Linked DNA regions of Arabidopsis thaliana. The protein of the gene in region 2 interacts with the protein of the main gene of each other region in a pairwise test. Each region holds a gene or a part of one and is shown on either strand. Other genes may lie near its edges. The genes, in order: GB2 and NPSN13.

Evidence for each region.
Region 1: the proteins of NPSN13 (region 2) and GB2 interact in a protein complementation assay, tested with the Arabidopsis thaliana proteins (one large-scale study listed by BioGRID).

Annotation. Positions count from the first base shown.
Region 1 is NC_003075.7:16,986,285-16,991,250, forward strand, and holds GB2 (GTP-binding 2), read right to left. Parts: upstream 2,764-4,966; 5' UTR 2,556-2,763; coding exon 2,510-2,555; exon of another isoform or gene 2,396-2,509; coding exon 2,256-2,395; intron 1,847-2,255; coding exon 1,764-1,846; intron 1,402-1,763; coding exon 1,197-1,401; intron 1,104-1,196; coding exon 1,035-1,103; intron 927-1,034; coding exon 834-926; 3' UTR 556-833; downstream 1-555. Other genes in the region: AT4G35850 (Pentatricopeptide repeat (PPR) superfamily protein), read left to right, coding at 1-5, 109-210, 299-397; AT4G35870 (early-responsive to dehydration stress protein (ERD4)), read left to right, coding at 4,048-4,966. UniProt on the Arabidopsis thaliana protein: Intracellular vesicle trafficking and protein transport.
Region 2 is NC_003074.8:5,968,762-5,974,532, forward strand, and holds NPSN13 (Putative plant snare 13), read right to left. Parts: upstream 3,812-5,771; 5' UTR 3,530-3,811; coding exon 3,453-3,529; intron 3,238-3,452; coding exon 3,145-3,237; intron 2,914-3,144; coding exon 2,820-2,913; intron 2,505-2,819; coding exon 2,467-2,504; intron 2,308-2,466; coding exon 2,207-2,307; intron 1,877-2,206; coding exon 1,797-1,876; intron 1,715-1,796; coding exon 1,658-1,714; intron 1,583-1,657; coding exon 1,490-1,582; coding exon of another isoform or gene 1,486-1,489; intron 1,406-1,485; coding exon 1,331-1,405; intron 1,250-1,330; coding exon 1,148-1,249; 3' UTR 804-1,147; downstream 1-803. Other genes in the region: AT3G17430 (Nucleotide-sugar transporter family protein), read left to right, coding at 43-201; AT3G17450 (hAT dimerization domain-containing protein), read right to left, coding at 4,032-4,187, 4,273-4,662, 4,747-4,830, 4,920-5,771. UniProt on the Arabidopsis thaliana protein: Vesicle trafficking protein that functions in the secretory pathway.

The DNA.
Region 1 (4,966 bases), on a different chromosome or scaffold from region 2:
AAAAGGTAAAAATCTTGAACTTCCCCTAAAAACTTTGGAAATATCTTACTGATATAAAGAGTTGGCTTAGTGAAAGTTAAAAAAAAAAAAACATTTTCTTTATGGCAGACGGGAGGGTACACAGTTGCAAATATGATATGGGATCTGATGCTAGCTCGGAATATTCTACCAACACTAGCTGCTGTTGAAGCTTACTACAAGGGCTTGAAAGTAATAAAAAACCTTTTTCTTATTTGACCACAAACTTTCTTTCTCTTGGTATTAGTTATTGATGGTTTTTGTGGTGTGGTAATCATAGGAACGCGAAATACCAGAGGATGATCCGAGACTGATGTTAGTGACGCGAACATACAATAACTTGCGGCTTAGGGAAGGGACATTACCTAATAGGCGTTAAAGCAAAGGGACCAAGAGGAAGAAAGATGGTATCATGGCTTCTTCGTTTTCTACTTCTATTTGCTTATTGGGATCTCTGTGAACCATCTGGGTATTTTAAAACCAGTTCGTTTAGATGAATAAGGAAATTTCACCTAGATGATGACTGGATATTATTCTGATTTGATTTCAATTACTTAACCTTGAGAGCTTCATACAAAGCGACAACGTTTTAAATAAGCCAACGCCTGTTTGGTTTATAAAGATCAGCCTGTTCACTCTTAAATGCACCCGTTTGGTTTTTTGATAAAAGACAATCTGGGAAAAAGAGAAAAAAAGAAAGAAAGAAAGAGAAACTATACATTCTGGTGTATCCATTTGCAGAGGTAAATAGAAGCAATAGTAGTTTCTGAATCACCAGATTACAGCAGATATGTGACACCTCTCTCGAGGATTTTTTAACCACAACAGCCACCTCCCTGAGAGATCGTACCATCTCTTCCTCCAGCTGCACCTTGAGTACGCCCGTAACCAATCTTGATACCTGATGACTGCAAAATTTAGAGAGACCAAGGGAATTGAATCACATTGTAACACAATCGAGGGATTAGAGAACACCAGAAGACTAAGTATATTGCCAGATTCAACAAGGAAATTACCTCGTTGGATACATCAAAGACACCATCCTGAATGTTCTGGAGGATCTTGGCAGCAGTCTCTATGAAGGCCTGTTGGAATCCAGAAAAAGAAGACAAAAGTCTCCATGTGATTACAGCCAAATAACAGGATGGGGAAAAAGAGTTGCAAGGAAGAAATGTCACCTCCTCAACGTTTTGAGCAGTTCTTGCAGATGCTTCTAAGAATAGCAGGCCATGTTCTTTGGCAAACTGTTGACCTTCCTCTTTGCTAACAGCTCTCTTGTGAGCAAGATCACATTTGTTCCCAATCAGCATAATACTCATGTTAGGATTTGCATGTTGCCGAGCATCCTCCAACCAGCTTGCCAGATGGTTAAACGTCTCTCTCCTGCAACCCAAAGAACCAAGAATTTTGAGCTTCAGAAAGATCAAAGCATGAAAAACCTCAATGATAAAACTCTTGCAATTCTTCATGTCCTTCATAACTTTCAAAATTCCAAAACAATGGAGGAAAAATATCTATTTTAGCAAGAATTTAAGATGGATGGTTAACTTAACATCCTCCCAAACAAGCATTGCCAATATTATAGCCAAGGATTTTGTTCAGATAAAAGTAACTTCCCAATTTCCAAAACCTTTCCAACAGTCTAGGTTTATCAAATCACAAATACAGAACCAATCACTTCCAAAACCTTGCTGGGGAATTCAGAAGTTCGAGCTGATATATATTGTCGCAAGGCAAAAACTAACCTGGTGATGTCATAAACCAGTAAAGCTCCGGCTGCTCCTCTGTAGTATGATCTGGTGATGGATCTAAAAGATTCTTGTCCAGCCTAAAAAATATCATACGAAACTTTAATCAGAAAGCACAACTCCAACACATACATCATCTAATGGAAGAACTATTGACCAGAAGAAATCACAACAAGGAATGCACTGGTGAACTCAGCTTCTATTACAATAAGCCTATGAAACTTAATCAAGAACCGTGCAATGATTAACTTTTTTGAAATTTTACCCCACTTTGAGTCTCTGGACATGATTTTCAAACATAATTTTTGGTATTGGCAATTCTAATGAGGCATTGTTTATATAAAAACGAAGAAATTGAATTGATTATGACAATTAATCTTCTTAATCACATCCTGCCTTAGGGAGAAAAAAAAAACAATCCTAATCGATAAAACGTGATTAGTTCCCTGATGACCTAATTACGACCAAGAGAAGAGAGAGGAAGCGTACGGTGTCCCAAATTTGGAGTTTGATGGGGCGTCCATCGACGGTGACCATCCGAGCACCGAACTCAACACCAATGGTGAGATCGTGGACTGGTTGGAACCTCTTATCAGTAAATTGCAGAAGCAGACACGATTTTCCCACACCTGAAACGACAAAAAAAACAACAACGAAAACACATGAAAATCGGCACGAAATGGATTTAACCCAGAAAAATAAAACAATTGGGAATTAAGAAAGGTGAAAGATCGGTCTCTCACCTGTGTCTCCGATGATTATGTACTTGAAGAGATAATCGTAAGACATGGTTGATGAATTTGAGCAAGGTCGATGATGAATTAGCGCAGGTCGATGGGTTCGAGAGAAGGAGATGTGAAAGAGAGGAAGAAGAGATTGAAGAGTACAAGTCACCGACGTGCTTTTTGATTTCGAGGTTTCTCGATGAAGAAGCTATCTTCTCCTTCTCATCTTTTATAATCTTTTTACTTAATTACTAAAATTAAAGGGATCTAATGACGAATTATCTGAATAATTGTTTTTCTTTTGTATCCTTAAGTTTCAACAGTAAATAAAAATCCACACAAAATACTCTATAGTATAATTTATTAATTATTATAGTCGTTTTAGTTAATTATTTAAAAACAGAGGGACCAGATGAAAAATATCTGGGAAACAAATTAAAGCTTAAAATCCATCTCTGCCTTTGGCTCCGTCCACTCTGACTCGACTAGTGCATCATCCATTGTTGGGCATTTGATAGTTTAAAGTGGGCTTTTTTATTTTTTTATAATGTGGGCTTTTTTCTTTGATGTTGAATGGCTTGGTTAGTGGATTTCGAGACCAGCATAAGTTTCTTTTTTCTATTCATCTGAAGCATGGCGCAGTCCATAATCGCTAAATTGATGATACAAAAGAACTTGCACATCAAAACTGTGAACTTACCAGAAATTTGCATTAGCAAAAGCTTCTTTTATTATATGATGGGGAATACACACGTACCTTGATACAAGGCTACTAATATCAATTGTGTCCGGATTATCACGGTAGTATGCTCTGTTTCATATCTCTTATGGAAATTACATAACTGTGTTTAAGATGAATGTTCTAGTGGGAAGATAAGAAGAACTCAAATCCTACATTAGAGATGAGTTCCTTACAAATGCTTATAGTCTACAATGGCAAATTCGAGAAGCAAATTCGAAACAGAGTTCCATCCATTAGAGAACAGGGGATGTTATTTCATCCCAAACTCAAACCGATCTTAGTTATGTTATTTCGTATTTTTTTGGGTATTTTACCTTCAAATTATTTGATTAATTTCATGCTTTAAGGAGAATTTGATTAAAATGAATATACAAGAGTTATGAATTTGATTATATTCTCTTATTCTACTAATCACGAAATATTTAGAGAATATGTAATTATCGTTTAAAGAACTATCGTTTTATTCATAAAAACTCTGTAAATTACCAATTTGATATACTTCTATCAAATTATTTATATTTTTTAGTTGTGTTAATTCGTTTTTTTTGGGTGTATTTATCTTAAAAAGATGGGATTAAATTTCATGATTTAAGGAGAAGAATCTTTTGAGAGATTCGAAACCGCGATAGCATTCCTTGTTCCTCCTTTTCTATTTACCTTTCTACTTTTGCCATCATCTTCGTCGATCTACTTCCCCCAAAGTCTAACCCTAAAGCCCCCAAATTTCTCCTGATCAAAACCTTGTTGTATAAATCCTGAATCTCTGAAGAAACTTCGAAGATTTGGGTTTCTCAATTTGGTTGAGAAATTCGCGATGAATCGCAATTTTTCACCAGCTGCGATGCCACCGATTTCATCAATGACAATAGATAATTCATTCTCTCCTCCTCCATCTTCCGGCGACTTACCTGAAATCCCAGATGCTTGGTACGGCAACATTCAGTATCTGCTTAATATCTCGGTCATTGGTCTCTTATGCTGCGTCTCCATCTTTCTCTTCGTTAAGCTACGCAGCGACCACCGTCGTATGCCTGGTCCTTCTGCTCTCTTCTCTAAGCTCCTCGCCGTTTGGAAAGCCACGTGTCGCGAGATCGCTCGTCACTGTGGTGCTGATGCTGCTCAGTTTCTTTTAATTGAAGGTGGAAGCTTTGTGCTTCTTTTCTCCATTGCTGTTTTAGCTGTTTCGGTTATGCTTCCGTTGAATTTATATGCTGGGACTGCTTTGTTGAGTGATGAGCTTTCGAAAACGATGATTACGCATATTCAGAAAGGTTCAGCTTTGCTTTGGCTGCATTTTGTGTTTGTTGTTATTGTTGTTGTTATCTCGCATTTTGGAATCGCTGCTATTGAAGCTAGGTTGAAGTTTACTAGGTTTAGAGATGGGAATGGGAATATCAGTGACCCGAACGCGAATTCTACTGCTGTGTTTACTATAATGGTGCAGGGTTTGCCTAAGAATTTAGGGTCTGATAGAGTTGAGTTTGAAGATTGCTTTAGGCTGAAGTACCCTGGGAAAGTTTATAAGTTTATTGTTCCCATGGATTTGTGTGCTTTGGATGATCTTGCTACAGAGTTGGTTCGTGTTCGAGATGAGATTACTTGGTTAGTTGCCAAGATGGACTCTAGGCTTCTACCGGATGAGTATGAGAATGTTGGAGATAACGGACTAGTGTTCTGTGTGTGTTCTTTGTGGGTTAGGGTGAAGGTTTTGTGGTCTCAGATTACAGAGAGGT
Region 2 (5,771 bases):
TTCCTTCTAATGTAACAACTGATGAACACAAACATTACACAGGAGTACAAGATGGAGAAGAAGTCTTCGGATAAATTCAATCCTAACGACAGTGTGGAGATCCCAAGAGTAGGAGGAGAGGTAAACGACGAGGAAGCCCCTTTGATCACATCCCGGTTGTCTCATATTGGTCGGACGCAGCTCGGAAATCACGCTGCTTAAGATGCCGGTATAAACGTATAATAGACATTTTGCTTCCCAATTCGTTATTTTGTTACTTAGAAGAAAAAAATCTTTGAAACCAAACAAAGAAGTTGCAGCACCATCTAGACCCGTGTCCTCGTGTGTCAGGTGAAAAATTCCAAATTTGTTATGAGATAGAATAGCGGAGATTATTACCAATGATTAGCTGGAAAACTAAAAAGTCTCAAATTCGTTTGTAGTGAATTGACGTTAAATTTATATATTTGTGGTCTTAATTTTTTCCATCATCAGCCGACCCTGGATTCAATTATGTTCCGGCTTCTGAGCAGCATCTCTTATATTTGAACTCGATTGATTGGTACAAAATATTAATGTCTTCAAGGTAAATTCTGATTGGAAGAGTAGTAATTGATTCTCCAGTAATAGAAAGGTGAAACAAAACGAATTAAAGGAGAATACAGTCAGTAGTTTCATAAATACTTAACGTCAGAAATGTAGTAGTACTCTTCATCACGTTCTTCGTATTAGCAAGTTACAGAAAGTGATAACCATTTGGACTCTTCTAATGAAATTCCAGCTGTGTCATGAAACTTTCTACAGTAGGACGAAGAAAGGAATCTAATGAAAACGTGAGAGAGTATAACATTGGTCTGAATTTTATACAAAAGAAGTGATAAGTTGCTACAAAAAAGAAGAAGGAAAAAGAAATAGAGACAAAAGCTGAAAATATACACACCCTCCAATCAAACCCAGATTCAAACGAATGGGTTAAAACAAGTAAAAGAACATGAAGATAAACATCCCCAAGCCTCGTCAACTATCAAAGCACACAATGCCAACAAGCACAAACCCTCTCTCTAACATCCATGAAATGGATTGTTAACAAATTAGAAGGAAATATCGAACCTCAAGATGCAATTTCCTCATTCCTCGTGAATAAATATACAAATAGAGATTTATATTCTCACATGTAGTCTTGATTCCTCAAGTACAATAGCTTCCTCGATTGCGCTGGAGGAGCTAATCCTGGGATGTCCCTAATGTCTTTGTTATTCGGATTCACGATCTGAAGAATTAATACAAAAACCAGAGTTACAACTTGCTAATGAGCAATCACAACTTTCAACAGAGAGAGAAAAGACAGTACCTTCACTATGATTATGGCTACTACACCGCATACAATGAGAAACAGGAACCCCATTATGCATTTATCGGTAGCCACCTGAAATAAGTAGACATAAGCATTCAGGTTTTGAGGTCAAGCCAAAAAGGATAAATCTACATATGTCCATATGAGGTTACACACCTGTCTCCCTATCTCTTTCACCAGCTGGGAGGCCTTCTTGATTGAGAATTGAATAGTGTCCAAGTGGTTAACTACGCGTCCCATTTGATCCGTCTGCAAAATTTTCAGGTTGTTTAAGACTCTACTCATAAGATTAATATGGAAGTAAAGGAGAATAATTTGCATTACCTGTCCCTTTAAATTAGCTGCAGTTTGAGTTCCAACTTCGAGTGTTTGTTCTACAACCTGAAAGGAACAAGAATGTTACCATAGATATATTCATATAGTAACAAAGGCTAAGGGGAACATAATTCCTTCTGTAACTTACCTGTTTTGAGCGCTCAATGGCCTGATCAGTCTCATCCATTCTTTTCATTCCAGCATCAACAAGCTCCTGGTTTGACATAGCTATACATAATAAAATGACAAAAGCCTTCATCAGTTTTTACATTCCCAATATAATATACTTCGCGCCTAATCAAATTATCAGAATCATTCATTTCTATTATCTAGGCCACCGATAACATTTCTAGTGCCATATTACCATCTGCCAGAAATTTACTGACAGACATCACAAATTATGCCAGACGAATAACCAGAGAGCATTAGTTACCAATCCAACATATTCAAGTACATATAGCATTAAAAAGTCTAAACTTCAAGCATGTCAATCTCTAATTGTTCTAAGCAAACTCATATTTTGGTGGCAACTGAAGACAAGAATGCATAAGGACTCACATGAAGCCACTTGAACATTTTCCTCAGCTGTAGGTTCGCCACTAACTCCAGCTCCCATATCAAAAAGCTCAACTTTCTTGTTGCCAAGGGTACTCATATACCTGAGATTCAAGACCAATTTCACATGTATGAACACATAAAAGTCAAATGAAATCCTATATAGATATTCTGAACGGATCGATATGAAATCAAAACCCTAAAAGAACAGGTTGAGATTCAAATAATCAGCTTTCTTAAAGAGGAATGATAGAAATACTAACGTTTTTCTTAGAGCAACGTAAGAATTGAGCTCCTTGATCTGTAACATTATACAAAAGAAAAAGTTAAACACAGATGTTAAAAAGTTCATACAAACAAAATGTTAGCAGATACAAAGTACAGAGGGGAGTGATAGATACACAATGACACTCAATATCCACCTTAATATATCCATTCGGTTATAAACACACCTAAAGATTGACCAAACTGAATACGACTGATGCTGTATAATGGAACTTTACGAAGGTGCCAAGTAAGAGTTAATATTCACATATTTACTTCAGATACATATGACATTGTAGTATAATCAAAGAAAGGCCTCAATGAATTTAATAAACAAAGGATAAAAACTCACCATAGATTGTTTCTCATCGTTCAATTGCTTATTTACTTCAGGAGAATTTCTAGCTTCCTCATCCTTGAGTTCACGGTCGAACTCTTTGACCAATCTGACATGAAGTACACATTAGACAAGCAAATACAGATTATTGAATCATGGATTTGTCACATCAATACTCTTTCCTTCTCAATTCTCATTATACGGCATCGTATCCAGCTCAAAGAAAAAGAAGTACGCATAACAGTGATCAAAGAGCACATTCTACTAAAGGCAATTAGCAAACAATGTTGTAACGCCGAGAACATAATGGTAAAGCATAGCAATTATGAAATAAGTATACCTTTTACACTCTCTCATCTTGTCAGTAAGTTCTTCAAGTTGTTTGCTTTGTCTAGTTGAATCCTTAATCTTATCCAACCTCTGGAAACCATTCCTGCAAAACAGATAATGGTGAATCATTAAAAGAACAATCTTTTGAGTGATGACTAAATCTAATTCTTATCATCAGCATTAAGCAAAACACGCATAAATCCTATTGAGCACACATAATCAAAAAATTCCAAAACCCTAAAATATATATCACAGTGTTTCGTAACCACGACAGAGATAGTTAGAAAATTGAACAAGAGGATAACATGTAAAACATACGCGAGGGCTCGGAAATGGTCACGGATTTCGCCATGGATCTGCTCCAATTGAGGGCTCATGGGGAGATTAGAAGCCATGTCGCCGGAGACAATTCAGAATCCGACGAAAATTTACCCAAAAACTACGTCACTGCATCTAAAATTTCCCTCCAATTTAAATTAAAACCCTAATTAGACAAAAACTGAAGTTAAAATCTCCAAAAAGAGAAAACACAAAGGAGAATGAATGAAAGACGAAACAAAGGACGACAAAGAACGGGAAAAGGGAAAGAGAGCTGTCAGGTGTGTGTTGTTTTTTTCTTTTTTATTCAAACATATATATTTTTTAAAAACAAAATTGATTAATAAATAAATTAAAAAGACAGATATTCGGTAGTTAAAAAAATGACAGCGAGGCGCCAACTTTTTGGTCCCATCCATATCCGTTGTTAGATAAATTATTTCACTTTCACTAATTTCACCTAATAATACTTTGATTATATTCTTCTAGCCAACAAAATTTTCATATTTTTCGAATATTTTAAGGATACAATGCTAGAATTCAAAATACAGTGTTACTTCGTTAGAATTGTAGCACTAACTAATCATCGTCACTAAGATCATCATCGTAAGGATCAAGGTTGTCTTCACCTTCACCGTCAACGTTACCAGATTCCATGTAAAACTTCTCCTCCTCTTCCTCATCGTCTTCATGGTCTTCCTTCTCTGCTCTGTCTTCCCCGTGCAAAGCCTCCTCCTTCACCAATAAACTACATTTATTAGCCTTTTATAAAATCACTGGAATGGCGTTTAGCGTTTCTCACTTTAAGTAAGTTAAGTACCTCCTCCTTCTCGGATGTTACGAGCCAGTCAGGGAGCAACCGATCCAGCAAAGCGTGGTTAAGAGTTGGTGGTGGTTCATCCTCATAATGTAGCCGTTGCTTCAGCTGTTTTTCTCTGAGCCGTAAGTTGTAATGAACGTATGTTAGATCTTTCGTTGATTTTTTCCCAAATTGGCTCTGGCATTGACTGTTAACTTGGTCGTACACGCTCCACTTAGGCTCACACCCAACAGACGAGCAAGTGTGGCTCAGTATCCGAACCGCCACTCGCTGGAGTTCCAAACAGCTTATCCCATGCTGTTGCCACCACGCCGATGGATCAAGCTCTGTTCTTGTGCCAATGGCTATATCCGTTCCAAAATCAGCTTTCGCACAAGTATAATCCGGAATCTGAAAACATTTCAACAAAAAGTTGGTTTAACCTCAGGTTCTGAGAACAATGTGTGTGACTTGGTGATTTGTTTTTTGTCTCACCTGCATCAATGCTGTGATTCTACGCGTGTTATCAGGCTCAAGCCTAACAATGCATTCGTTAACTCCACGCACAACCTCAGACTGCTGCAGATTCATTCACATTTACAGCAAATGTAAGGAAAATGGCAGAAAGCTTTTAGTCATTGATTCAAATGAATGATAATCATACCTACCGCCATAAAATCAGGACGATATTTGTATGCCGGGTTGAAGAAATATGCAGCCACATAGAGAGGATGATGAAACAATGGGTTCCAACGGTATTCTATCACCCGCCAAAACGGTCCGTATTTCCTTGCATCATCGCTATGAATAGACTTGATCGCCATTTTCGCACAGCACATGTAACCGTAAGCATATGGCATAGATAGTCTATCGCCACCATCATTGATCATGTGAATCACCTGCATCACCGGATCAACCGATTTCAAAACATACTGAACCTTCTTCCAAAACACAGCACTCAACACCATCTTCTCCACTTCTCTTCCCTCTTCAGACTTGGCGGCGGTCTGTGACAAAATCCAGCCGTCAGATTGAAACAGACCTCTGAGACTGGCCTTGTGGTCCATAAGACTTTGAAGAGTGGTGAACCCGGAAGCGTGGCGCATGACTGCTGGTCTAAGAAGATCTAGTCCCTGTGTGAATTCGTTCTTCATAAGATTAAGCAGCCATGTTTGATTGTAAATGAATCTTGTGATTCTTTGGGCTTTCTCTAAGCACTCGGAGACAAATTCTAGCTTTGAGAAGTCTTCAAGAACCAGTTCTGTGCAATGTATTGCACAAGGAGTCCAATACAAATTCTTTCTCTTCTCTTCAAGTAATTTTCCAGCACTTCTAAAGATAGCAGTGTTCTGTGTAATAACCTGCACCACATTTTCCTCGCCAATGTCGTCAACTAGTTTGTCTAGACACTTGAAAAGGCTTAAAGCATCTTCTACTATATCAGTGGCATCAATCGAGGAGTGGAAGTAGACACCACGAGGGCACGAGACCAAGAAACTGATCATTTTCTTGCCCTCTGT